Diceros bicornis minor: one gene and its partners. The protein of the gene in region 1 purifies or fractionates together with the protein of each later gene. This does not show direct contact. Links are inferred from orthologs where the notes say so. Each region holds a gene or a part of one and is shown on either strand. Other genes may lie near its edges. The genes, in order: ZC3H18, NCBP2 and SSRP1.

Evidence for each region.
Region 2: the proteins of ZC3H18 (region 1) and NCBP2 purify together in Homo sapiens (co-immunoprecipitation; 3 studies listed by BioGRID and IntAct, with this or other methods). This does not show direct contact. The link is inferred for Diceros bicornis minor from reciprocal best matches to the Homo sapiens genes ZC3H18 and NCBP2.
Region 3: the proteins of ZC3H18 (region 1) and SSRP1 purify together in Homo sapiens (affinity purification with mass spectrometry; 3 studies listed by BioGRID and IntAct, with this or other methods). This does not show direct contact. The link is inferred for Diceros bicornis minor from reciprocal best matches to the Homo sapiens genes ZC3H18 and SSRP1.

What each region holds. Positions count from the first base shown.
Region 1 is NC_080771.1:37,025,376-37,032,793, reverse strand, and holds the start of ZC3H18 (zinc finger CCCH domain-containing protein 18), read right to left. Parts: upstream 5,124-7,418; 5' UTR 4,952-5,123; intron 1-4,951.
Region 2 is NC_080754.1:29,107,172-29,114,589, forward strand, and holds the start of NCBP2 (nuclear cap-binding protein subunit 2), read right to left. Parts: upstream 4,284-7,418; 5' UTR 4,217-4,283; coding exon 4,139-4,216; intron 2,096-4,138; exon of another isoform or gene 1,849-2,095; intron 1,139-1,848; coding exon 957-1,138; intron 1-956. Other genes in the region: protein NCBP2AS2, read left to right, coding at 4,446-4,745. UniProt on the Homo sapiens protein: Component of the cap-binding complex (CBC), which binds co-transcriptionally to the 5' cap of pre-mRNAs and is involved in various processes such as pre-mRNA splicing, translation regulation, nonsense-mediated mRNA decay, RNA-mediated gene silencing (RNAi) by microRNAs (miRNAs) and mRNA export.
Region 3 is NC_080770.1:16,424,511-16,431,928, reverse strand, and holds the start of SSRP1 (FACT complex subunit SSRP1), read right to left. Parts: upstream 3,729-7,418; 5' UTR 3,716-3,728; intron 1,823-3,715; coding exon of another isoform or gene 1,730-1,822; intron 1-1,729. Other genes in the region: SLC43A1 (large neutral amino acids transporter small subunit 3), read right to left, coding at 1,730-1,822, 4,169-4,245, 4,378-4,433, 4,543-4,720. UniProt on the Homo sapiens protein: Component of the FACT complex, a general chromatin factor that acts to reorganize nucleosomes. The FACT complex is involved in multiple processes that require DNA as a template such as mRNA elongation, DNA replication and DNA repair.

The DNA of each region.
Region 1 (7,418 bases):
CTGTCATCGCACATGGCACTCCCACAGCCACGGCCACGGGCAAGGTGAAGAAGCTACCAAGGACAGGGCCGGCTGCTCAGGCCCTACATCTCTACTGTTCCAGAAAGAGCCTGGGGCATTACAGCAATCAGTCAGGGGCCAGTGGCGAACGGGAAGCCTCCCCTCTCTCATCCTTAGCTAACGATATTAATAAAACACATAAGATTTCCCTTTGTGTACGACATCCTATGCTTATCTTTGTCTAGTTTTTATTACAGTGTATATACGAAATCTTCTCTGGCAGGGACTTTTGTCTCCCACCTGCTTAAGCCAGCCCCCGGTGCCCTGTAGGCAGGCAGTCACACAGAACCAGTTACCATATGAAACCCGATCAATGCTGATGCTCACATTTACAGTCTAATGGCAATCTTGGAAACAAAGTTACCTCTTAAACCAATCAACTGTTATCCAAAATCAAAGGCCCCCTCAAACTAGTTTAAAAATTGCACAACTGATACTCTGCAGAAAACAACCCTGCAAGCCTGCCACCGGCCTGGCAACATACTATCCTGTTCACAGCCACAAACTCTCATAACCTGGTCACAGCCCTTTTCTGGGGCCCAGGTGCAAAATGGTTTCCACTTTGGTTTCATTGTTATGATTAGGTCCAAGCAAATTGCTTTTTGTATTTTGGAAAACTTGAACTTAAATCCTAGAGTGAGAAATAGAAGAAAATAGCGCCTAACTTCAGTATCGGAACCAATGCAAACGGGCCAGTCAAGTGGGAAGTCTGCCTCTTGGTGTGCTGTATCCTTATATGACACAGGGGATACTGCAATCAGTGTGTGCTTCTGAGCAGAACCTGACCCCCAGCTCTACTGCTTCCTAGCTTTAGGATCTTAGACAAACGGTGTAAACTTGCCAGACCCCAGTTTCTTCATCTGAAATATGGAGACAACAGCATCTTCTTTATAAGGTTGTTGCCAACAAGTAGATAAGACAAGCCTGATAATGTGCCCAGCACATGCTCCACATCTTTTAATTTAAACTGAATTAATGTGAAGATGAGTAAAGGTAATCCTCAACTTCCAGAAACAATACTCTTATCATGCCTGTCAGATCCAGTTCAAGTCTCTGGGAGCACTCAGGAGTAATTCATTCACCGTTTCACTCAACCAATGCCTGAGGACCTACTAATGCAGGACTCTGTTATTAAAACCACCTCGGCAATAAAACCCACAGCCCCACCACCTGCTGAGACCACTCCTGTGTCTGGCATTTGACCGATTTCCTCATATTAACCTTCCAAATAAGTGATGTTCCCCTTCCCACACAAGGAAACTGCGCCACAAGCCCACTGAGTGGGTACCCCAGGACTGCAACTCAGAGCTGCTTCTAGAGCGCGTGCTCAGTCAGAGCCCTGTACTATGCATGAAATGAGCTTCCGCTCCCTGCCTAAGAACCAACCCCCATTTTTTGCCATTGTTTCTACAGGAAAATGGGACCCAAGTTCCAAACAGATTTTATAAATTCTCTTTTGGAACACAGCCCATGCATAAACTGGGGACTTGTACTGAACCAGTAGATTCTGCCTGTTGTTCTCTTCTCCCTTCTAAAGTGTTCTGCTGGTCCATCTACACTGCTATCCTAGCCCTTCTAGAACCCAAAACACACATTTTCATACAGATGGAAAAGTTACTATATGATCTGTGTAAACTATTAGTTAAAAATGGTGATCATCACATGGAGATTCGACTTGTAACAACAGTCATTTATTTTATGATTTTGAACTTGTCTGAAGTTTGAATCTTAGGCACTTACACCAAACATGAATCCAATAAAAGAAACCCCCAAAAGGTGCACACCTTTATACTAACACCACAGGAAGTGCTGACTTAAATTAAGATCCTGAAAGGCTGGTGTATTGTGGCATGGGAAATAATTTCAAGAATTTTATTGAGCCCGCATGCCCTCCACAGTTTGAATTACGGAAATCACTTCGACATTCCAAGGACGCAAAGGTAACTTCCCAACTCTCACAGGCAGTTCTCAGCGCTGACCAGAAGGTGGCAGAGCCTACGGTCCTGAGTGCACCTAGCACCATCAAGGGGGGCCTAGAGCTCTGTCAGCGGTGCTCAATCAGCCTTTGCGAAAGCATGGACTGCTCTGAGAATGGGATGAAGGAGATGGCTCCTCTGCCTAGAAAAACCTGGACATATGCAATTTATCTTCCACTTTAGGGAGTTCAAAACCTCCTGAGGTCCACTCATAGGCCCCAGATTAAGAACTCTTGCCCTAGGCATACTGTCCATTTGTCTATTATGTATCCATACTTACCACACTGTACTGCGACTGTTTGCAATCTGTTTGCAAAGTCTGTTGCGAGACTCCCTCAGCTCCCATGAAGTGCCTGAGCGGAAGGGCTCACACTCACCTCTGTGCTCCCCTAACTCAGCAAGTGGCTGGCACTTAGGAGCAGAGCTACCACAAAACTGACTGTCTAAACTGGGACACGCTTGAGACTGAAAGGGGGCATTAACAGCCACACAGGCATGATCAGGAGCTGTCCTAGACATACTGGGACATAGTCACTGTATGTCCTGACAATTTCCTGAGGAAAGGAGTCACATCTCTTCTCTCCCTATGGAACCTCTTGGGATTTCATAATCCGAAGCTGCACAGAACTGAACACCTTGCAGAAGAAAACAAGCCGAAGAATCTACCTGTTTATTAGAAGCACCCTGAGTCACACCTTGCTGTGCAGAAGAGGAGAAGTGTCACTGGAGTCAGAAGGTGGCTTCTGTTCCAGGCCCGCTCTGGGCAGGTTAATTGTCTCTCTGGATGTCTGCCCTGTTGTGAAATTAATTCAACTTGGCAAATATTTAAGTGGGTGCTCTCTGTCAGGTGCTGGGAGAAACCTGTGGCCTCTTAAGTGTAGAAAACGAAATGGAGGTCTGGCCATGTCTTCACCACTCCCAGGCTCACAGCTCTCATACAACCGCCTGCACCCACTCCCGGCAAAACTGCGCACCCTTTAGTCCTCTGATCCCCAAGATGGAATAATGAGTGTCCATCCTTGTGTCTCCACTGCCTACTGCATTTGGCAGACAGTGATTAATAAATGCTTGTTGAATAAACGAATGAATAAATGAGAAAATCTCGTGACTTGATAAACTACCTGTCGCTTACCAGAAATATCTGAAAGAAGTGCCAGTTTTAGAAGACTATACCAGAACTCAGATGCAGAGTGGGGCTGTCTCATTTCCCAGCCGTCACTCCGGAAGGCTGCACATTGATTCCAATGGCACTGCTAAAGCACAGAACATTTTGGGAACCTCTCTCTTTGAGTGACCTGTAGAACACTCTCTTGGCGCTCTCAGTGGCAGCAAGTCTTCCTCAAGGTGGGTCACTTTGAGAAAGCACAGGAAGCCATTCAGAGGTGGTGAGGTGAATTACCAAGCCAGATAAGACAATTTTTGGTCAAACATGGGGTGTGACTATTGAATGAGATTGATTTTCTCATACGCTTATATATTTACTACCAAAACGGGAGTTCTAAAGAGGTTTTGGCAAAGGAGCACCAGTGAAATGCAAGGTACCCTTCTGGGATAACGACCTTCAACAGAGCAGACCCTATTTGAATGCTTCAGTTCTGGTACAGCTGGTTAAAGTCCTGGTTCATAACTTCATGGATTTACAACATCCAAAGGAAGGATGTCAAGGCTGGTGACAGCACCCCCAAAATGACTAAGCTTGACTACCAAAAATTCCCCAAGTAAGTCTCACATTGAGACGATATGTAGCTGTGAAAAAGTAAACAAAAAACCTCTTTAAACGTGAGCAAGGCCACAGCTTACTTGTTTGCCCTCTGAAATGATTCCACAAAGCTTTCTTACAATGTTTGAGCATTTCCCACCCCAAACTGGAGATGAGTTCCAGCCTTTGGGACACATACCATTGGTTTCCATAGTTGGGTGGGCTACATACGTGCTCAGATTGTAAAACTGTCAGACAGACTCCCCTCCCAGGGCTTGGAGGTGGGAATCAGCCTGGGTCCAGGCTCACCCTGAATCCCAACCTCGGTTCTGGGAAAGGACCACTCTGCGGGAACTATGATGAAGGTGAGTCTCTAAGAAGAAAGGATGAGAGCCATTGCTACGCTCCCAAACAGTACTTCGGATGTCAAACACCCTCCTCTTCCTTTTTCCCCAAACGCATCTGAAGTCTGACCTACTCTTGCAAATGAGTTTGCTGGACAAAGCTCATTTAAAGTGATCAACCAGCCTACCCAGCAAAGTCGGCCGTCATAAAGTATTCAGGAAAAGTTAAGTCTTAGCAGGAGCAAGACTGGCAGTCTCCCACTCAGGTTCGCCCAGCATCACAGCTGCAGTAGTTTATCCCAAGGACCCGGCATCATTCCTCCGGCTTCTGACCAAAGGCGCAGGAAAGTTTCACATCCTAAGAGAGTGGCGCGCGTCTTGGGGCACAGCCAGCGCGTCCAACCTGTGCACACTGTGACGTCGAGGGAGCAAGCTCCAGGAGGCTCCAGCGAGCTCAAAGTTCCCTAAGAGCCCATCGACAGCCCGGCCGGCCTCCTCTGAGGGCCGACCCGCGTGCCCCCCCTGCGGGCGGCAAACATGTGCCCCGCGAACGTCCCGGAAGAGAAATGACAGCTCCGGGAGAACCAACTCCACGGCAGGGCGCCAAGGCAGCCGCGCGGGGCTCGAGTTCCGAGGGGTCCAGGGCTCTGGGCTGGCTCGCCGCGGACGGAGCGCGGGATCGTGCCGCTCTCACGGCCCCTTCCCGGGGCCCGAGAGCCACGCTTCGGCCGGGGGCGCAGCCCGGAGCGCTCCCCGGAGGCGGCGGCGGCGGGGCTCCCGGGCCTGGGCTCCGCGCCGCCGCCACGCTCCCCGCCCGGCCGTCTCGGCCTCCCCTCCCCACCGGCCCGGCTCCCGCCGCCGCCGCCGCTTACCTCAGCGCGAGGGCGGGGAGGGGGCCACGGCTCCGCTGGGGTCTGGACGGCGCGGGGAAGGCGTCCCTCGGCCCTTCCGCTCCTCACAGTCTCCGGCTCCAGGCGCGACGCGGGCGGAACAAACGGGCTGCACTACCCGCGGGGGCCGGCCATTGTGCGACGTCATCAGGCCGCGACCGCCGTCCTCCGGGCCGGCGGGCTTCCCTCGCCCGCCCCGCCCTCCGCCCGCTTCCTTCCGGCTTCCGTGCGGCCCCACCGCGCGGCCCCGCCCGCGCGGCGCGCGCGCCCGCCCCTCCACGGCGCAGGCGCCGCCAGAGGCCACGCTCCCGGGGGCGGGTCTCCGAGCCCGCGCGCCGCCGGCCGCCGGACGACGCCTGCGGGGAGGGTCAGCGCGCCGCGCGGTCACATGACGGGCCGCGAGGTCACGTGACGCGCGGAGCAGCCGATTCCCGCGTGGCGGAGTCGTGCGGTGAGTGGGACGGTGGACCTTCTGCAACGAAGGTGGTTTAAGCCTCAGAGCTTGCATTTTAACTCCTTCTGTGGGAGTAAGGAGCTACCGCCCGACAAATTAATCATTTTTGAGATATGGAGTTTAAATGCCAAAGCTTAAACATTTTTAACTATTTCCACTTTCTTAAAAATAATCAGCTCAACACAAGAATTAATTGTTTTTTGAAATATTGAGTTTAAATATCACAGCTTATAATTTTTAACTATTTACGTGGGACTAAATAGCTCCAGCTGTATTAAATATAATCAGCTCAACACAAAATTAATCATTTTTGAGATAGAGTTTAAATATCAAAGCTAAAGTTTTAAACTATTTCCATCGGACTGGATAGCTCCGCATCTTACTAAATGTGATCAGCTTAACCCGATGTAACCTTTCCGTGATCAGAAGGACATCATGTGATACTTGGAGCATTTTTACAGCTCTACAACTACCTTCACAGACCCTCAGGGTGGAGCCTCCTGGAGCCACGCTGCAGAGGATCACACAGTGTGCTCTCCATTTTAGAGATGAGAAACTCGCACTTAGAAGGGTTCCGAGCTCGGTTGAATGACCTGCTTTCCCCACCTTAAAATTCTTAGTCATTTTTGAACAAGGGGCCCATGTTTTCATTTTGCACTGGACCCTGCAACTTATATAGCCTGTTCTGGGGGTATCTAAGGGTTTTGGGGAATGGTGAGCAGAGCAGGCCTTTCCTCACCCCATCTTCCTCCTCCAGGAAATGTGCAGTACTAAGAAGGGCTCCTCCTTGGGGCAGCCTGCCTCCATTCAGCCCACAAATATAATGTCCAGCACATGGTGAGGTTGAATGAACTCATAAATGTTTGCTCCATGTTTTCCGAATGAATGAATGAGCAGGGGAAGAAATGAAGGTATTAACACAGCTAATGCACTCCTTGGTGTCTAACCCAAGAGAAATGACACGTATCTAGACAAAACCAGAGCACAAATGTTGGCAGCAGCACTGTTCACAGTAGCCTCAAAGTGGAAACAACCTAGATGTCCACGCCCGGATGAACGGATAAACAAAATGTGTTCTAAGTATACAGTGGAATAACTATTAAGCCATAGAAAGGAATGAAGTCATTATAAGAAGAGATAACAGAGAGAGACCCCCCCCTTCTGTCTCTCCCTTCCCCACCCCACCTCCACTGTGTGAGGACACAAGAAGGCAGCATCTGCAAGCCAGAAGAGAGCTCTGGCCAGACCCCTGCTACGCTGGCACCCTGATCTTGGACTTCCAGGCTCCAGAACTGTGAGAAAGTAAATTTCTGTTGTTTAAGCTTCCCAGTCTATGGTATTTTGTTAGGGCAGCCCGAGTTGACTAACACATTCCATCTACATGAAATATCCAGAAGAGGCAAATCCATAGAGTCGGAAAGTAGAGTAGTGGTTACCGGGCCTGGAAGGAGGTGGAATGGGGGGTGACTGCTAAATGGTGTTGAAAAAAGAAACAGGCCCAAGCTGGAGTCAGCAAACCAGGACTTAATTGCAGTTTCAGCCCCTCCCAGGAATGTGACCTTAAAGGATCAGTCTGGAAAATCCTGGTCAACACTAGTGAGGTCATCTGATAAGACCCCTGAGCCCTTCCCCCAAAGAAAGTTGACCTTGCCTGAAACAATCCTTTCTTTTTTGTTTGCTAGTAACTTTCTTGTCCCGCCCAGTTTCTGCCTATCAATACCTTCCATTTCAACAACTCTCTGCTTGCTAGATGGGATGCTGCCCGATTCATGAGTCATTGAATAAACCCAATCAGATATTTAAATTGACAAGGTTGAATTTTTGTTCATTAACAGATTTGGTGGCAGCAGCACAACCGAAGGAGACTTCCAGCAGCTTTGGGAATAGCAAGAAACACAGGCGTGGTGCCTGAGAACCCTTTGAGTTCTTCTGTCTTTCTCGCCATTTCTGAGGGCCATTGGTGAGTTCCTCTCAGTTTGCGCTATGCAGTCTTTG
Region 2 (7,418 bases), on another chromosome or scaffold:
AAATTCAAAAGACATGTTAGATCAGGTCTGGGAAATTTCTCAGAATATAAAACAAAATGACCAAAAAAGAAAATATTAGCTAAAAAAAAAAAACCAAAATACCAAAGGATAAATCCAGAAGGTCCAATATTTATAGAGTTTCCAGGGAGACAATAAATGATCATACATAAATACCTATAAAATCAAGCTATAGGGGCCGGCCCCGCAGCGTAGCGGTTAAGTACACGTGCTCTGCTGCTGGCGGCCCGGGGTTCAGATCCCGCGCGCACACCGACGCACCGCTTGTCAGGCCATGCTGTGGCGGCGTCCCATATAAAGTGGAGGAAGATAGGCAAGATGTTAGCCCAGGGCCAGACTTCCTCAGCAAAAAGAGGAGGATTGGCATGGATGTTAGCTCAGGGCTGATCTTCCTCACAATAAATAAATAAATAAATAAAATCTAGCTATATACATCTACATAATGAAAAACTATACAGCCATCTTAAAAAGAGGTAGATCTACATGTGCTAACATGGAACAATCTAAGATAGGTGGGGAAAAAAACTAGTGCATGCAGTACACTACCACACATCCACAGGATTACTTCTGGAAAGACACCCAAGAGACTGGTAACTGATTGTCTCTGGGCTTAGAATGGTACAGGGATATTATTTTCACTACACCCTTTGGATTTTTTAATCACCATAAGCATACATTCTCGAAAGATTGTTTTTCTTGAAGCATCTACTATAAACAAAGCATGGATTTCAGAACAGAATGTAAATGTTACCAGCTTTCACAATGTAAGAGTGTAGACACACTGGACAGAAGGTAGGAGGTAGATGAAGGAAGGAGAAGTAGAGATAAGTGTAGGGGTGCTAATTAGTGAATATCCTCACTCATTTTTTAAACAGGTGACTAGCCACTCTTGGCCCCACCCTCATCCAAGAGCTTCATCAAACACCTAGGAAGGATACTCCACAAAGCAGAATCCACATGCTGTTTTTTTCATTTTATCCAGGCCCATAATGATTTTCTTTATGTCACCACTTTTGCTGAAGAGTTCATAGATTTGTTCTTCAGTTGTGTAAAAGGAAAGATTTCCAACATACAATGTACAGCTTTTCTTCAGTAATTTTTCCTGTTCTTCATTGTCACCCTAGAATTTCAAATAGAGAAGTTAAGCAACACAATCTAAAAACAGCCTTGTTTAAACAGTATTCCTAAGTATAAGAAAAAACTTTCATTAACTCTGATTTGGGAATCAGCTTCTCTCATCATCCCAATCCACCACAAATCCCTTGCCAAAAAAAAAAAGAGTCCATGAAGCACTATGCAGGTCCTCCTCCTGCACTATACTGCCACACAAGTGGCATGCCTTTTCCCTGTACACCCCATATCCTCAGCACTGGCTCCTTCTCTAATGGCCCAAATTTAATTTCTGGACCTTGAACCAATATATTAGAGGGGACCCTTTTATCCTTCATGATGAAAAATAAACGGATTTTCAGAGATAGGGAACTGCCTTATAATACTTCCATAGAGAATGTTCAAAGCAACAACTGCTTAGATGGTTTTACATGCTCATATATTTTTCTCTGAGTTTAGAAGAAAATGTAGGGATCACTAAAAATAAGATATCTCACTTTCTTGATGGGCTTCCTAATTTGGAAGACAAGATGAAGCGAGAGGAATACAACTGGACTTCAGCCAACACACCTGACAATCCCTGGGGACAAGATGGCTCATCATGGGCTAGACGTGGTATTTTAGATGGCTTCACAGAAACCTGTGTGGCCGTCCTCCGACTTTCTCTTCTCACCTCCTCCACACTGGGGAGGACGAATACTGATTAAATAGAAGACCTACCAAGTGACCTGCTCGCAGGCCCCTCTGACCCAGGTTACGGCTCTAACATCAACCATACAGTGGTATTCCAGCTTGGAAAGTAGCTCAGTAGATCCATACTCAGGCCCCCAGAGCATTTCCCAAGAGGCCTCCCTTCTTCATGTACTACACCATACATAATGCTGATCCAGCTTCCTTCACTCAGAGACTAAGACTGCATTATTCGTGTCTGAATGCTTTGCAGCACAGTGCTGAGTAATAGGTCTCCTGATCACATTCAGTGGTAGAACAGAGAAACCATCTGAACTCACATCCATCAAAAGGAAAATGGAATAAATTATGGTACATCAATAAATATAAAACTATGCAGTCCCAAAAAAAATCTAACATCCACATGCAGTGATATGGAACATCTCCGAGAGAGAGCAAAGTGAAAAAAGAAGGTACAGAACGTGAAAGGTATGCTGCAAGTTACATAAAAGTATGAATATACACAGATATCATACACAAGAAACAGTTAATTATGTCTGCCTCTAGGGAGAATCAAGGAACTGCAGGTCAGGGATTTCCATGTATGAGGGCTCATTTAATTTTCAGAACTGAATGAGGTATGTCCTAATTTATTATCCCCGTTTTACACCTGAGGAAAGACTATTAAGTAACTTGTCCAAGGTCACACAGCTACTCAGTAGTTGTAGCTGGAATCCAAACCCTGTCTTATCCCCAATCTCATACTCCCTAAAAAGTTCACAGGACAAGAGTCATTCTACATTAAAATAGGCTTTCAGAACTTTGGAATGAGACATTAAAGTGATTCACTTTATATTACTGCTGTTACTGATTTGTTAAAATTATGGTCAGGAGGCATTTATTTTTCTTTCTAGTTTTCTCCCACTTGTAAGTAATGTCCAAACAAATACCCTATGGCTTAAGACAACTGTGGTGTAAGTACTTAACGTGTGATGTTAACGTGGATTCCATTCAGGGAACACTAGAAATTCCGCATCACAGTATCTTTCTACTAAATAAAGCTATAGGCTTTAGACTTGCAGAGATGAATAACAGAAAAAGTCGTTTTTCTGTTTATCTGTTAATTAAAACTGTTCACAGTTTTAATCTTGCAGGATGCTTGAAATTCAAGATGGTTATGATGTGGAACTTTCTAAAGTAATGAGAACTGTGAAAGTAATAGAAGTGAAAATCATGCCCGGCATAGAGTAAGCATTTAAAAACTGTTGACTGAGTGAATGAATTTAAGATCTTCCTCAATTTCGCCTCAAACAAAATTTCCTTTTCCCTACCAACACATTTTACATTCTCCATGCCTACCCTCTTTTATATGTGGCCCTCCTTTCCCAGTCATAAGGGTTCTCCCTTCTGATTCCTCACAGCCCCTCCCTTTCCACTCATCATTTCTGCTCTAGATTAAGGTTACTTACCTCTATTTACCATCCCTACTAGAGGATTATGAACTCTAAGGGTGCCGAAACTGTCTTCTCTCTCCCTTTAAGGTTTAGCAGAAGGCTTCAGCAACAACACTCAATAAAAGTTTACTGAATAACCAGTGGTTCATGTGTCGTCCACCCCACCCCCGCCTTTGCTGATACTGAAGAGCGTACCCCGAATATCTGCAGCCTTCCCTTTTCCACATAATCTACTATGACATAGGCGAAACTGAAATTTCCCCCTTCTGAAACCCAGCAGTTCTCTGATCCTGATATCCAGACACTTAATGTGCCTAGCTTGGCTGGTCCACCTCCCCACTCCAAGGGCTTCCCTAAGGGTGGAGACAGGACTCAAATTTGTGTCTCCCATCCACCGCGTAGAACTGTGTAGGACCGTTCTACCAGACCAAGGACAGGACTCGAAGCGCCAAGGGGCAGTTTGGCTAATTTAACTTAAAATTTTAAAAAGCAATAAAAAGTCCCACTATCTGGGTCAGGAAGGCGCCTCCACATACTCCAGGCGTCAAAGGACACCTCTTCCCCTCATCGCCAAGTCAGCTTCCCGAGACACAGCCCGTGAAAACGTGAGCCACCACTACTGCCGCTCAAACCGCTCTGCAGTGGCCCGCTAACAGGCAGCGGCTGCAAGGGAATGGGAAAGCGAGCCTCAAACTCCCTTTCTATGAGAGATGGGGCTTCACTGACATCCAAACGCCCTTTCAGCATCCATTCCCCAGGAGGCACCGGGGCCTCTCTTCGCGTCCCGGGAAACTGGAGAACGGGAGACGACACAATGAGACAAGAGCAAACCGATTCTCGGCGTCCCGGCCTAGGGCCTTCCCTTCTCGCAGCCCGGCCTCCCTCACCCGGAAGTGCTGGTCCCGGTACTGGCTCAGCTCCACGTACGAGTCGCTGCGCAGCGCCTTCAGGAGGCCGCCGGACATAGTGCACACAGCTGGTCGGCGACGCCGCCACTCCGGGAACAACGAGGCCGCCGCGGCCCAGGCGGAAGCGGAAACGCGCGGGGGCGGTTGCAGAAAGTCGGAATCGTGCGGCCCAATCCAAGCGTGGCAGTGTCGTCACCCAGCGGCGCGGGCGCAGACGTGGTCCGTTGTTGGGGAGCGCCGAGCAGAAGCAAGAGCGGCGTGCTTCGGGTTCCGGGTGGCTCCGAGGATGGTTCTTCGGCGGCTGCTGGGCGCCCTGCTGCACAGCCAGCAGCTGGTGGAGCGTCTGTCCGAGTCGCGGCCGATCCGGCGCGCGGCGCAGCTCACGGCCTTCGCACTGCTGCAGGCCCAGCTGCGCGGCCAGGACGCGGCCCGGCGCCTGCGACGCCTCGCGGCTGGGCCCGCGGGCTCCCTGGGCCGCCGGGCTGCCCGCTTCAAAGACACCTTCACTCAGGAGCTACGCCGCGGCCTCCGGGAACGCCCGGGGCCACCACCAGGTAGCCGGCGGGGCCCGGGCGCAAACCCCTGAACCCGGGCTGGGCTGGGCCGGGCCGAGGTCGCCTGCTTTCCCTTCTAGGCTCGACACAGGCCTCGGCGCTAAGGAGTCACCCCGGGCACTGCGCGCGGCTTCGAATCCTGACTCAGATCGTCGGCCTGCCGGGGTCCCACTGGCCAGAGCTGGGTGAAGCCCTGTGATCCGACAGGGCACCGTGTGTGAAGGAAGCCCCCGAAGCCTGAGAGGAAGAAAGATAGGCTGGGCCTGGATACATCACGGACAGGGAGCCACGGACCAAACCTCAGCCCGAAAGACAGTCTGCCCTCCGCGAATGGGACTAAAACTCGTGGTCTATGATGCTGCCTCTGCACTGATGTGCTAGCAGGGCGTGACTTCCAGGGGAGATCATGGATGGGAAGACAGCCCTGCAGCTGCCAAAATCCTCTGATTAAATGTGTGAGCTGGGTAATGGGTATGAGCGTGGTACTTCTCCGGCAAGATGGGTTAGGATTCCTGGGGACTGTAGGCACATGGTAATACTAGTGAACACGTATTGGGTGCTTACTCAGTGCTGGCACCAGCTAATGCACTCTGTGTGGGTTAGCTCACTTAACTCTTTACAGCCAGTTTCACATCAGGAAGTGTAGGCTACTCCTTAAGTTGCCCGTGGCCTTACAGAGTGGGATGTGAATACAGGCGTTTGACTCCAGGGCCTAAATCCTTAGTCAGGGCTCCCTGCCACATTTACCCGGACCTTCGTTGCCCGCCTCCCACCATCACCACCGTTGGGTGTTAGGACTCCTGCCTACGTGGAACAAGCTGCCTGGATTCCTGTTCCCCATTTTAGAGGGTCTGGGATACAATCTAAAGACTATGGTCCAGCGAATGGAGCCATGGTTAGGAAATTCATTGTACACAGAAATGGCGTCATTTGAGGCTTTTGACTGCATATCTGATCACCTCTAATTAGGCTACACAGTTAATCATGTGATCTAGAAAGCTCGAAACCACAGGAGAAGCTTTTAGGCTGGTAACCAAAGACAATTTATACTCTGGCTTTTCTGATAGTCACAGAGAGAGAGTTAGATAGAGCCATAGACCTACGCTGGAGATGGAGAAGCTAAAGTAGCTGGTCCTCCACTTTCCTAATGGTCAGACTTTTGACTTCACATCCCACTCTCCAGTCTTCCTATCAGAGGTGCTGCTATTTAATCCTCTCTGAAGCCAGAGGTCCCAGTCTCCTAATTACCAAAGTCCTGATTTGGCATGTGTCCTATCTTCCTGTCCTCCCATTAGAAGACAAATCCTCTCCCAGACCAGAGGCAATTCACTGGCTTCTCCTCTGAGCCTGGCAGTGAGGAGCTTGAGGAATTTGTTCATTCTGACTTGTCTGCCTCATTGGTCTCAATCCCACTCATTACTCTGGATATCAGAGGAGCAGAATATTGGCAGTCCCCAGCCCAACCCCTTACCCTCAACATAAATAAGCACACTCACTGTTAGGTCTTTTTCCAGACCAGCAGAGTCAGAAAGAGAAGCAGTACAGGAAGCAATGCAGCTTCCAGATAAACTGGCCATTTGGTAAGAAAGGAAGGAAAGCAAGCGAAGGGAGCAGTTTATTTTTTGTCAAAGAAGTGTATAAGAACTGCGTTCCCTCCATTTTTGTAGAAGGAGTCTGGGAGGAGAGAGAGAACTGGGTCTTTTCTGTGCAGCTGGAGGTGATTTACATGCCTACCCCCTTCGTTGGAGAAGCCTCCAGTGTTTGTAGTCAGTGGCTTGCCATCCCACCGGTTACCCTATGACTCAAGAAACAGACCAAACTCTTCCCACCACCCCCAGTAGCAGCGATTTCCCAGCATGCCTTTTAAGCTCTTCTAAGCTCTTCCAGAAAGGGAAACAGGGAGGCAACTCACCCTGCTATACTGCAGGGCAATTCCGACTCACCCCTGATGCCACACAGATTTAGATACCAACGGTTTATGGACAAATTCATTTGAACTCAGACCACCACAATCCACGTGGACTGCTACACCAGTGGTTCCTCCAGGGAATTCTGAGGTTGTGGACCCAATTGAGGGAAGGAAGAGGCAGAAGTCCCAAGAAGCCCAGAGGAGTTTGGGACCCCCCCTAGAGTCTGGGATGTCTCCAAGGTGGCACTTGGTTTTTATCTGTTGGGCAGGAAAGCCATCTTTGGCAGCATAGTAAACAAATACATGCTTATCGTGTTCCAGAGATGATGCTAAGCAGTAGGGGTAAGAAGACCAATCAGAGCTTCATAGCAGAAATAGACCACAAGAACAGTGAATTGTCCTGAAAGGGTACTGTAGAGTTTAACGTAGGGAAACGTCTGGGAGTGTGCTAGAGGCAGCCTATACAGAGCAGATCCTTGGCATCTCCTCCCCTCTCAGAGCCATGCTGGGAGTATTTATACCCAGAAATTGGCAAATGCTACAAATGGGGGCTTTTTTGCACCAGAGAACAGGTTGCTAAACATTTACCAGCTTACCACTTTTTCCTCTTCCTCCAGGTTGGAGTCATGAGGAAAGTGTGGCACTAAGACCCTAGCAGCAGCCACAGAGCAGCATGCCGGGGTAAGGGTGTGGCTTTAAGATGACCCAAGGCTTTAGCGGGCAGAATGCAGAGCTAGAGAAGTGCTCAGGTTTGGTCATTCGTACAGGTTTGGTCTCCTGCTCTGCGCTGACCTCC
Region 3 (7,418 bases), on another chromosome or scaffold:
CAAAGCCTTCTAACCAGGGACAATAGGTTCTGAATTGACTGGGATTCTGTGCCAATGTGTCAGCCCCTCTACTGGGGAAGCCAGGTACATAGAGATGGTGTCATTCCTCTTGTCCTCCCTGCCACCCTCTGCCCTCCCCTCAGGCTCCAGTGCTGCCTGGGAAAACTTCTGCTCCTCCTCGGCCTTGGGGCTCTTTCTTCCATGGGGGCAGGACAGAGCTTCAAAAGGCCACACCCCCATACGAGTAGGGGTAAGATCTGGCTCCTCAAACCCCACTGCAAAAGAAGGGAGAACTGCCACCCTCCGTGGCTGCTGCTACCCGAACAGCTGATGGCCACCCCCACCAATGCACATTCTCAAACTCCTTTGGGGACGCTGAGCTAGTGCCCTCTAAACGAACAAATTAACAGTCCAAGGCAGAATCTGAGGAGCACATTATAGCCCAGTTGAAAGGGTGCTTTGCTGCTGGTGGGAGTGCAAACTGGTGCAGCCACTATGGAAAACAGTATGGAGATGTCTCAAAAAGTTAAGGCTAGAACTACCATACGATCCAGCTATTCCACTGCTGGGTATTTATCCAAAGAACATGAAAACACCAATGAGTCAAGATGCGTGCACCCCCGTGTTCACTGCAGCATTATTCAAAATAGCCAAGATTTGGAAGCAACCTAAGTGCCCATCAGGGGATGAATGGATAAAGAAGATGTGGTATATATACACAATGGAATACTACTCAGCCATAAGAAACGATGAAATCCAGCCATTTGTGACAACATGGATGGACATTGAGGGTATTATGCTAAGAGAAATAAGTCAGAGGGAGAAGGTCAAATACGGTATGATCTCACTCATAAGTAGAAGATAAAAACAACAACAAACAATCACATAAAGACAGAGATTGGAATGGTGGTTACCAGAGGGCGAAAGGGATGATTAGGCACATGTGTGTGGTGATGGACTGTAATTAGTATTTGGGTGATGAACATGATGTAATCTATGCAGAAATAAAAGTATAATGATGTACACCTGAAATTTATACAATGTTATAAACCAATGTTATTGCAATTAAAAAAAAAAAAAGAAGGAAAGGGTGCTTTGATATCATTTGATGTCAGAGGAAGGAATGAGGCCCCAAGTTTGCCCAGAGCTAGAACTCAGCCTTCTGGCTCTAGGTCCACCGGGCTGACCTGTCTGGGATCTTGTCTGGCACAGACTAGCTTTGTGACCTTGACCCAAGTCAACCAGTCTCCCCAGGGCAGGGGAAGGAGATGTGGCCAGAAAGGTGAGGCCAGAGAATCAAGAGACTTGAATGCATGTGAAGAGGTTGGACTTGATTCTGTAGGCGAAGCAGAGCGGGTGTGTGAGCCAGTCATCCATCTAGGATCATTCTGGAAGTCATGTGAATGACAGATGAGAGAGGGAAAAGATCAGAGGCAGAGAGACCAGCTAAGAAAGCTTGCACCGGCCCAGGAGAGAGGATAAAGGCCCAGACTGGGACAACAGCAAAGCAAAAGAAGAGAGAAGAGAAATCAGACCCACTGGTTAGCAGCAGCACCTGACTCTTCCCATGATGCTTCAGTGATTTCCCAGAGGGGGTGGGTACTGACCTCCGGAGGCAGGAACTGGGTCACGGACACACTAGCCACTACTTACCCAGCCCCACCCAGTTCTTACGTCAAGGTGAAAAGAAAACCCAAGTGACCTCACGGCCCCCCAGGCAGCTCCATACCTTGATTCCCGGGAATGTGATGGCAGAGGAGGCATAGGAGCCGATCATGAGGGCCATTAAGGTGGAGCGCAGGTTCCCAAACATGTTGGGCAGCTGAGGGAGGAGAGCAGCGCCAGTGAGCAGGGGGAGACCATGACCCCCGCCCAGGGCTCCCCTTTCCCAGACCCACCTGAGAAAGCTTGGAAGCATCTAGCCCAGCAGAGAGCTCCAGGCACACCAGCCCCGTGAGAGGCAACAGAAAAGTTCTCAGGCAAAATCAATGTCGGAAACTCTGCTCTAACCTCCCTCCTACGGACTCCCAATGCACTTAGCATCTAAAAGGCTCCCAGAAGCGCCCTCAAAGAGAAATTTTGTCAATGTTGTTTAACCCCAGGACTTCCCAAGTTAGTTTTTTCTAGAGCCTCTTTATCTTGTGACACCTAGTAATAACCCATGGAATGGGTGTTGAAGAACAGTGATCGAGGGCAACTCATTTGACAGATGAGAAAATTGAGGTCCCAAAGGGGAAAGAAATGTACTCAAGTTCACTGAGCATGTTAATGACTTTCTCCTCGCTCTATCCCAGGCCCCAAGGCTGTGACCGTGGCTGGCTCTTTAACAGGATGGTGCCCCTTCACTCTCCCAGTGGCCCCAAAGGGGCCCACAGTTTCTGCTGAGCCAGGAAAGTCATGAGACGGGCTAGGGAGGTGAGAGTGAGACCAAGTGAGGGGGCAGGGGCAGGCCAGGTGTCCAGAGGAGGTGGCTCTGCCGTGCAGAGCAGGCCCAGAGCTCCCACCAGTAAAGAATTAATGGATCCTATGTTCCGCTCACTGGCCCAAGCGGGACCCTTGCGGGAGGGGAAAGCAAAGTCATGCCACCCTTTGTGTACCCGCTCTGGCCCCACCATCGGCCCCAGGTCAGATCCCATAGCTGGGGAGGGCCTTCGATGCTATACAAAACTTAAATCCTCTCCACAGAGGCCCAGAAGGGGACCTCAAATCGCTCTGGAAAGGAAGGTGGATAAACACAGAGAAGTGAGTCCCCCACCAACCTCCAAGTGGCTGTGAAAAGGGGGTAGGGTCAGGCTGACCCCCACTCGGTCAAGGTTTCCCTGGTACCCTGTGTCTGCAAGGCATACTGCCCAGGACGCCAGGGAAAGTGCTAGGGCCCGGGGAGCAGCTGGGCTCTTGGTGCTTCCCACCCCCCAGGGTCCAAGGGCGCTGTCTCCGCCCAGCACACTGCGAGGCCGGTCTGGCTAGCCCAGGATGATGGGCTGGGCAGCACCGGCATCCTGGCTGGGATCTGTCAGCGAGCGTGGAGGCCCGGGGGCGGGGCCGGGCCGGGGGCGGGGCCGGGCCGGGGGTGGGGCCAGGCCGGGGGCGGGGCCGGCGCCGGGCTCTGCCATTGGCTGGAGATTACAGGCGGCGGGGCAGGGGGAGAGGCGGCGGGCTGCGGCCGGCAGAGCCCCCGCGGCTAGCAAGGGCAGGGTAGGGGGTGAGGCCGGGTGCGGTGGGGGGCAGGACGAGGGAGAGAAGGGATTTAGGGCCCTGAGCCAAGTTGCACAGCGTGAAGATGGGGCTGCAGAGGGAGGGGGCGGGGAGGAAGGGAATCGCTTCCTTAGAGAGTTGTGAAATGTCCCAGGCTGGAATTAAAGGCGGCTGCTGGGTGAGGTGAAATTCAGCCAAAAACATCCAGTTTGGCGGTCAAGCTGCGCTCAGCTCATCCGAAATAAACAGCCCCGAGGCTGGCCCAGCCAGGAATCCCTCCCCCCACCACACACTCCTAAGCCTTTAACCCTTATACTCACTCACTCACATACATCAACATACACACTTAGAGTAACACACACGAAATTCACACACATACGTAAGAGGTCGAGCGCTGTGCAAAAGCCGTTTTTGTAGGTCAGGCATGGTCAAGTTCGGCAGTTTTACCTGGTTCAATAACACACTCACAAATACATTTACCTACTCACCGTTTCCCACAACCAGCATCCCACACACACACTGTCTCAAGCTGCTTCCTCCCTGTCACTACCAATCGCGTTATCCGGTTTTATTTTCTTTCCAGCACTCATGAGTACCGACATAATTTGTCCGTTTACTTGTTTGGGAGGTTGCCTGTTCCCCCAGCCCCTGAATGGAAGCTTCCAGGAGGGTGAGGAAGTTGTCAGCTCTATTTGTGCTGTAGCCCCTGTGCCTAGAACAGAGCTCAGTAGACATTATGTGCTCCGGATACACACACACACACATACACACCCTGACATCCATCCTCTGACACACAGTCTTATCCACAAGTACACAGCCTCACACCCACCCTTGGCTGCAGCCTGCACAGTTTCACACACACGTGTATTTGATCTGCATCCACTGGATCCTCTTGCGCTCTGACCCTCACTCATTCCTACCCCCAACCCACTCCTGGGTGCCCTGCTGCCAAGCCAGGGCTTGTCATACTCACTGTGAGTGATGAGAACGTTAGGCAGATGCCACCAAAGCCATTCAGGGACAGCGCCAGGAATATCAATGGAGACAGAACTGGGAAGGGGAGAGGGGTGGATGAGGGCATGTGGGGAGCAGTAGGAGACCTAGGGCAGGCGTAGGGGTAAACATCCATCTTCATCCCACCCATTCTTTTCTTGCGCCGGCATGAGAGGCCAGATATCTCACCTTCGGTGTCCCGAGAGGCCAGGGCCATGAGGGTGCAGGATGCAGAAAAGCTGGCGCTGTGGAGACAGGGGAGGGGGTGGGGTTGACCTGTGAACAACCAGAGCCTCCTCTCCCCTTACAGTGCCCGTGTCTGCCCTCCAGCTCCCCACAGCCTGGCCACCTCACCTGCCAACCAGCCGCGTGGGCCGGGGGCCAAAACGGTCCATGAGGATCCCCAGCGGCAGGGTGGTGGCGCTGAGCAAGAAGGAGCCGATCGTGAAGCCCAGGTTGAGCATCTCTTCCTGGCGATCACAGCTCGGCCACTGGTGCTGCTCATCCTGGGTAGTGTTGGTGGTGTTCTTAGCTGAGGAGGGGGAAGGGAGGGCTCAGCACATGACTGCAGGAGCAGCAGGGCGTAGGAGAGAGCAGCCTGGGATCAGGGATCCTGCGCTCAAATCCCATACCTCTAATTTACTGCCAACCAGGTGACTTTGGGGGTGGCCTGGAGTCATATCTGGTGGGGATGGGCTCCATAAATGACAGTAATTCATATGTGACCCAGGGAGAGTCATACGCCCAATCTGAGGCCTCAGCTAGCTCAAACATAATAACAGACATCAAGTATTTAACAAGTTGTAATATTCACTTGTGGGAGATCAGAATTGGCCATCCCAAAATGTATTAGTGAAGCTAGCTTCTTGGACTCAGCGACTCTAGGATCTGGTTGAGTACTCACTGGTGAATTGATCCTTTTCCTCCTAGATACAGTCACTATGTCTCCTTGTCTCTGTCTTATTTTGTCATTTGTCATAAGACACAGGCATGTCTATAAGCCTGTTGTCTGAGGCTTGGCTTTGTGACCTCGTTGGTCTCAACCATCCGGAGGATACATGTACTGGCATGCATCTTGGCAGCCAGTCAAGTAGACTGGGGTTCCAGGGCTTTTGTCTTGTTCTATGTCTTGGGATCTTGGCTTTGTGACCTTTCTTGTCTCTGCCATCCGGAGGATGTACGTACCGGCATGCATCTTGGCGGCCAGTCGAGTAGACTGGGGTTCTGGGACACACTCTTTGTCCAGCTGTGCCTGCTCTCAGGGAAGTTTGTCATAAGGGGTCCCATTTGCTTTCATAAGGGGGCTTTGTCATCTCAACCTTCATTGTTTGCTTGTTGTGCTTTCTTATTTTGGGGAGTGAATTCTCTGGATCTCTTTTGGGGACGCCTCTTGCATCCATGTTTAAGCTTTGGTATGAGTCGCTGTTAAGATTAAGATCCTACTCGTCAATGTGGCCAGACAATGGATCATTTAAATTGAGAAAACTTCTAAATTGGGGAAAAAAAATTTTTTTTTTCTTTTTAAGATTTTTATTTATTTTTCCCCCCAAAGCCCCAGTAGATAGTTGTATGTCATAGTTGCACATCCTTCTAGTTGCTGTATGTGGGACTCGGCCTCAGCATGGCCAGAGAAGCAGCGCGTCGGTGCGCGCCTGGGATCCAAACCCAGGCCGCCAGCAGCGGAGTGCACGCACTCAACCGCCAAGCCACGGGGCCGGCCCTACGAAAAAAAATTTTTGAGAGCTCTCACCATAATTGTTTTCTTGGTACCTATGAAAAGGCCCAATTAAAAAAAAAAAAAAATACAGGCCGGCCCCGTGGTTTAGTGGTTAAGTGCACGCACTCCGCTGCTGGCGACCCGGGTTCGGATCCCGGGCGCGCACCGACGCACCGCTTCTCCGGCCATGCTGGGGCCGCGTCCGACATGCAGCAACCGGAGGGATGTGCAACTGTGACGTACAACTATCTGCTGGGGCTTTGAGGGAAAAATAAATAAATAAATAAATAAATTATTAAAAAAAAAAATTATAAAAGAAAAAAGAATGACTAGCCTTAAGACCCTGACTCAGGTTACAATTAAATTGAGAAAAATGTAAAAGTGTAAGTGTTGATAAGATTATAAAGGTTGGAATGTTTGAGCTGATTTTATATAAAGAGGTTATATCAACTTCGCCTGAGTGTGTTTTAAAATGTCTCACTGGCAATGCTTCCCTTGTCCAAAATTATAAGACCAAGACCTATTGATAAAGTCCTAATGAAAACTATGATTAGCGGTATAAGAGTTGATGGAATTCGGATGAAATTTTGTAGAAACACTGATGTATTTATGGGCTTTTATATAAAGTGATTGTATCTATTTTTGCATGAATTGTATTATAGATTGTATTATGGGAATAGACATTGTGTCTCACTGGGAAAAGGGAACGTTTCCCATGCCTGATTGTAAGACAGCATATAAATCTGCCCTTCAGACAGTGTTAATTAAACTTAGAAAAAGGAAGTCAATGGGGTTGCCTGAGCCCACACCATATGAGATAAAAACTAGAGACTAATATCAGGGGCTAATAAAGAAGATAATAGGAGCTTTCCCTTGCCAAGGTGTAGAGTTAAATTGTACACTTAGAAAGGTGCAGACTTTTAAAGGTGTGATACATTGTCCTGAAGTTTTAGAATGTACAAATCTTTAATTCACCTCTTAAGTTAAAATTTTCCCTGATATTTAAAAAAAAAAAAAAAAGCACTTGGGAAAAAAATGTAGCTGGAAGGGTGGGTCAACTTGTCATTCAAAGTGTAATCCAGTTCTTTGAGGCTCTAGAAGCAACTGTCTTTGTCCTACAAATCTCTGCAAGCAAATTTCTGCAGTTATGGCTCTAGAAAATAGTTCAAAGTTCATTGGCCAATCCCAAAGCCTCCCCTCTGAACTCTGGAGACTTGTGCAAGTGCTTAACGAAAGGGGAGATTCCTAAGACAGAAAGGAAAAAAAAATGGAAAAGAAGCTTTTGCAGACACAAACTGCTAAAATTTTTAACAGAAGCTATAAAATCTTTGTTGCATCTGTCTGTTGTTTATGTGTGTGTCTCTATGTATGTTACATGTGTGCGATATTTTACCTCCGGATGGTATAGCCAAAATTAAGAGCTCTGTTTAATTGGCTTAAAGTAAGCACTTACATGTCTTTCAAGTTAACGTGATATAAAATAATCTTTAGTGAATGAAACCTCGTTTAAGTT